Linked DNA regions of Mus musculus: region 2 is reported to be linked to region 1. Evidence: microRNA targets listed by miRTarBase, many of them from high-throughput screens and not tested one by one. Region 1 holds a microRNA gene; the other region holds the end of a gene's coding sequence.
Evidence for each region. Region 1 holds the annotated microRNA mmu-miR-201-5p (UACUCAGUAAGGCAUUGUUCUU, at 1,870-1,891, opposite strand). A microRNA usually pairs through its seed, bases 2 to 8, with sites in the 3' UTR of a target mRNA and lowers its output. Matches are read on the target gene's strand: a 7mer-m8 pairs with bases 2 to 8, a 7mer-A1 pairs with bases 2 to 7 and ends in A, and an 8mer does both.

Region 2: miRTarBase lists Tmem170b as a target of mmu-miR-201-5p. Seed matches in the 3' UTR shown: 7mer-m8 at 1,473-1,479 and 7mer-m8 at 1,217-1,223.

Annotation. Positions count from the first base shown.
Region 1 is chrX:67,986,266-67,989,534 of GRCm38, forward strand. It overlaps Mir201 (microRNA 201), which reads right to left and starts at 1,896; the gene lies at 1,831-1,896. Mir547 (microRNA 547) reads right to left here and starts at 2,186; the gene lies at 2,109-2,186.
Region 2 is chr13:41,634,146-41,637,145 of GRCm38, reverse strand. It overlaps Tmem170b (transmembrane protein 170B), which reads right to left. Exons shown (of 3, transcript NM_001163572.2): 3 at 1-2,690. The coding sequence ends at 2,560. Among named protein-coding and RNA genes, the nearest start is that of Gm5082, 13 kb to the left of the region's middle.

The DNA.
Region 1 (3,269 bases):
TCTCTGTAACTCCTTCCATGGATATTTTGTTCCCCATTCTAAGGAGAAACAAAGTATCCACACTTTTGTTTTCCTTCTTCTTGAGTTTCATGTGTTTTGCAAATTGTATCTTAGGTATTCTAAGTTGCTGAGAGGACTCTGATATAACTGTCTCTTGTTAGGTTATGCCAGTGCCTGACAAATACAGAAGTGGATGCTCACGGTCATCTATTGGATGGAACACAGGACCCCCAATGAAAGAGCTAGAGAAAATACCCAAGGAGCTGAAGGGGTCTGTAACCCTATAGGAAGAACAACAATATGAACTAACCAGTACCCCCAGAGCATGTATAGCAGACCTTGGCCTAGTCAGCCATCATTGGGAGGATAGGCTCTTAGTCTTGTGAAGATTATATGCCCCAGTACAGGGGAGTGCCAAGGCCAGGAAGCAGTATTGAATGGGTTAGGAAGTAGGTTTGGGGGAGGGTATAGGGGACTTTGGGGATAGCATTTGAAATGTAAATGAAGAAAATATCTAATAAAAATGTGGAAAGGAAAAAAGGAGGTAGTATTAACTTACAGTAGTTATTCTTGAGGTTCTTTTTTATTTCTGTTGGTAAATGAGATCTGTGGCAATTCTGTGTTTCTGTCATCTATATCTGCAGATTTTGACAAGTGTTATAAGGGCACTCATCTGCATACAAACATATATCTGAAACTTTAAGGTGTTAAATAGGAACAAATATGTGTTGAGCCATGCAGAGACATGGTTTTTATTGTTTTGTACCTTACCACTTAAAGATCCTCAACTCCTGAGCAATGAAACAATAATGATGCACGTATAGGATACCTGAAACAAAGAATATAATCATTTATAAGGTCTAGAATGGAGAAAATGGAAATCCCATTTCCTACTCACAGTCTAGAATGCGGAAATCCCATTTGAGTTATCAAGAAAGCTTTATGGAATAAAAAAATCATGTACTCTAAAAATGTCCATATATTGTTCTAAGTTCTTTGGTTTCCTTGACCATTCCCTTCATGCATGATGATTATCAGTATAATCTACCATCTTCTATTCTGGGATGCACACAGCTAGTTACTTGAAATTATCTCAATCTGAACTGGGAACAAATTGAAAGAAATGCCTGGACCAGTATCAGAATGAGCAAAACTGTGGCTTAAAATATGGAGAACTTACTCCTATCATTCTTTTGAAGACACATATTAGAAGTTTTAAATAGATATACTCTAGCTAAAAGCATTAGATTTGAAATAAAATGGAATATAGTAGAAGGGTTTGATGTAGTTTACAAGCAAGGGGGCATTGACATATCTCGATTCTCCTAATACAGAAATGTAACAAAACAGTACAACCTGATGCCTCTATTTATCTCTGTCTCTGTCAGTATTTCCACCTGTAATGATATGATTTTTAGCAAATAAACATAGATAGGATGTTATCAAAAGCACACAAGAATACTGAAAGAAATCAGAATGAGTTTTGTTCTTGAGGGGAAAAGTAGCATTTGCTTACATAAGAAACAAATATTGTAAAAATATCATAGAGGTACAAATTTTTATAGCTTTAAAATAATAAATGGTTTAACTATATAAAGATGTATGACTAAAAGGTGAAAGTGAACGATATATCTTGCCTTCCACTTGGTTAGTTGTAATATCAACTTGAAAGGACAAACATTTTTCTAAGAGACTCTTAGTTTCTAGATCTGGTTCCTTAAGAGGTATACAAGAGAGCACTTAGAAATAACCCAAGGCTGGATGTTCATTACTGATCTATGACTGAAACTTACTATCAATGCTACCACAAATGTTGTCCATGTTGCACATTACCCTACACAGAAAGGCACTGTTCATTTATTAATATAGAAGAACAATGCCTTACTGAGTAAGGTACTGTACACAGCATCATTGAAAGTAGCCAACTCATCTTAACATAAACACAAAGCAATGAAAAATAGATGACTCTATTCCCAGGGAACATTGCTGTCAATCCTTTCTTGTATACAGCATTCTCCAAAGTGTACTATGAGTTGAAGTAGCAAAAAAATAGCTTATGCTGAGACTCAAGCCCCTTTTCTAGGGTCAGTATTGAGGTGGTAGCTGTTGTGTGTTATCTCACTCAAAGATGTACCAAGCATGTTTCCTGTTAAATGGGTGGTACATCCTCAAGTGATACATCACACACTACATGAGTGAAGGTGCTAACACTAGTCTGTTCCCTCTGCCATTTCATCTAGTAAGCCAATACACACCCTCATTACATGAATCATCAGAAGAATCTTCTCAAAAGACACGAATGACATTCATTCCTCTTACTTCTCTTTTACCACCCCTGTCCTTCTTTTCTACCCAAGTCTTCCTTAAGTCATTTTTGTGTTCTGTCCATATAATAACATAAGAGTTTATGACTGGGAAATATCAGATATCCCCATTCATATCTTCCCTTTATAGATATAGGATAGAGTTTTCATCACCCTATACTTTGTGTACATAAAATTCAGCTCTTGCAGAATGAGTCACTTCAGTAACTCATTAGCTCCACATGTTGCAGGCTGCATTAAATTAAGTAGGAATAGTTCTGAAAAGGGTAAGCTCAGAAACTTGAGGTATTCTTATTCTAAAATGTGGATCTTGGCTTGGTATCATCTTATCCAAGATAAAAGTCCACTGCAGTGGCAGCAGCAGCCATAAACTTACAAGTCAAAAATAAAGAAAGTAAACAAGGAATACATAAAAATAAATGTGCAAGTAAAATTTAAAAAATCCTGAAAAGAGAACAAAGTAAGCAATAGGAGATCTAAACTGTCATTCAGAACTTGAAAGAATACTTATATAAAGTCACAAATAATACAGGAGTAAAAAGATCATACAAAAATGCAGTATATTCAAATACAGCTCAGAAAATTCAAGCAAAGAAAATTATAACAGTAACAACAAAAAACTACATTGTAAATATAAAAAAAAATTTCTATGAATTGTAGCATTCAAAGAAAGGGCCTAGAGACTATCTCTTTACTCATAAATACAGGATTCTTGGCTTCATTTCACACTAATTCCAGACAATACCTAAAATTAAAAACCACAAGAGTTCTTGTAGCCACCTAACGTATAGCAGGACTAGCTGGTACTCTCTGCACAGAGAAATGCTGAGTAGATACCGAAAGCATAATGAGTCTAGGCCATGGCACACTGTAATAATAGCTGGAGACAAAGCTGAGCAGCTTCTCTCCTCTCCTTCATGCCTAAATTCTTCTCTAGTTTTGGTG
Region 2 (3,000 bases), not on the chromosome of region 1:
ATGGAACTGACTATGTCAGTGAGAGCTTTTGTCAGATCCAAAACAAGGGTCTCCAGCAAACCCTTAAATACCCTCCAGTCTATTTCAAAGAGCATTTAACCAAACAAATGTATCAACTTCTCCAGAAGAACAGGAAAATGTTCATCAAACAAAGCTTTCCAATTGGACTGTATTCATATATAGCTATCTATATATGTATATATAATGATATTCTTATGTGTATATATATATATATTTCATTAAACACTTTGTCTCTATAAGAAACAGCTTCTTGAAAACTTTACCATATAAATAGATATATAGACAGTTTCATAAATCCACACTACTCAATTGCATTTCAAAATACCAAGAGTTGATAGTTACACAAAATCCCAATGGAAATAACTGAAGAAACTAAAAATGCCCATCAAATTAAAAGTGCACACATGAACACAATTCTTAATGCAAATTAGCTTGACAATGAGATGACCGCAGGACAGTCTCTAAAGAGGTAACTAACCCCCTTAGACTTTCACCCTAGAGCACAAAACAAGCGCAATTCTCTTTGGTCCATTCATTCACATAGTCAATGTATCAAGGTAATCTTTAGTTAGTTTTAGATTTGAACAATGGGCTCCGTATTACTTTAACATGATAACTTTCTCAGATCATAAGATAACCATGTTAACACAAATATTTGTTCTGTACACAAGTCAATGTCAGAGACAGTTAAGTCTCACGCTGGCACACAAAGCTCTGAGTTGCTGACAAGAGCAAAGCCAGCCAAACAGGAGAGAAAACTGGGGTTACCTGGAAAAGATGCTCACGTTTAAGTTTAGAAAACAGCAAGAATACAAAGAATGCATGGGAAGAGCAGCAGGCCTGGGCACAGCAGAAGAAATCAATTTCAGGCTTGTTCTCTGACATCTCTAAGGATATAGCTTTGCTTCTTGGTTGATTTTTGGGTTGTTAAATTTCCAAGCCACGTTATTAGTAAGTCTAAGTTGGCTGATGCACTGGCAAAGCAGCTCCTCCCGAAACTGATAATGCATTCTCTGTTAGGGAAAAGGGGCATGGATAATAAACGTCTTCAACCAAACTACGTCAAGGAGCTCAAGGTGCTATGCTATTCTTTAGATTACCTATAAATTCATAATTTCTACAATGGATCTTCCCTTAAGTTAGCACGTTTGTAGTTACAACTGGTTATCACACACACACACACACACACACACACACTCAGTTCAACCAGGGTCTGTACTTTCCCAACTTCCTGTATTTGTAATAAACAACTGTGTGTTTTTCTAAACCTCCTAAAAGGTTTTATAAACAAAGTACATTTCCACTGTTAATGAATGTGACCTGAGACTCTATTCGACTCAGGTAATAACTTAGAATCACAAACTTAAACCACACCGCTAACATCCCCGCTTAGATAAAGGTTCTGCATTGTCTTGATACACTCAGACTAACTGCCAACTTGAAAACCATCCACTCAGTCCTCAGTCTTCCCAAGTGTAATTTTCTCCCTGCCACATACACAGAGGGAGACAGTTTACTGCTCTTCCTATGTAAGGTACTTATTATTTTCCTATAAATGAAGCATTCTTAATCCCAGAGCCTAATTTAGGCCACTCTCTAAGCAGTTAGTACTATAGAATCCAAGACACTCAAGACACGTACACAGTGCACACAATCCCACTGCAATGAATTAGAATATTCTGTGAGATGGAGGCAAAAACCTTTAGAAGGGTTGAAGAATGCAACATGCATTTTAGACTTTTCCTTACAAAATTTATAAGAAAAATGTAAATTATATTTTTATGACACACAAGTGACAATGTGTTTGACTCATAAAGGTTTGATCCATATAAATAGAATATGATATATGAGGGAAACTATGAAAGGTGTAGGTTACTGAAAAGTATGCACCCTACAAGTCTGAGTCCATAGAACAGCTCAGCTAGTCGTCCACTGAGGAGACCAGTGGTTTTCACATAAATTAAATAACAACACAGAGACAGATTAAAGCCCCAAGTTCCAGAACACTCAGCTTAACAAACCGAACACCATCCTTGGTATTGAAAGCCCACTATCCAACACTCATGGGATTAACACGACAAAGCTAAGCCTGGCTACGTTACCTGAATCCATGTCAAGTATACTCACAGCACTCACCTATGTCTACACTTGCAAACTGTCACATGATCAATGTTAACAGAAAGGAAAGTTTGGCACATAGATCAATTTCTCAAAACGTTCCTGTAACTTAACACAACACCGTTGAGAACGACGGTTTCAACACCAATGTTAACCTGATTGGCAACTAAACAAGGTGCTTCTTCTTGCAGCTTCACAGAGAGTCTTGTGCACCTTGCCTGGGATGGAGGCACGTAAGGTGCAGTGCGGTAGTGCAAACGTTTGGACGCCAGAGGGCAGGCTTGCCACACGGCTCAAGGTCTTCCCTAGGTTTTTCTTGCTGGGTCCCTGCTTGTACCACTTCATTTCAGCTGATTAACCACACATTTCCGGGGACTCTGTCCACACGTTTCCTTAGTGAAGAAGACATTCCCTCAGAACTCAGAGTGTGGCGAGGATCCTTGAAAAGGAGATGATGAGTGTCAGCACAGTCTGCCCCACGCCCCACACCAGGGCTTCCAGCGGGGCCATGTTCTTCCCAGCCACTCTGTAGATGCCGGCCACTGCTGCACCTGGGAGGGAAGCAGAGCAGAGTCATCCAGGGCCCCACCTGCCACACGCACGGCTGCCTGCGGCAAGTCACCTTTCAGTTACCTAAACAGAAAACCTTCCCCACTCTTCACCTGACTGAGGATCTCCTCCACACGGCTGGTTAACCGTTCCCAAACCCCACAGAACCACACAACCCAAGAACGGTGCTTTTAACGGAACTCTACAGTCCACAGTTCACGCTCTCAGCACTTTTAATGTGAGGATCTTTTCAATAAGAACTGACACTCATGTTTACTCCAGAATACACTCTCATCCATCCCCTTAAAATGC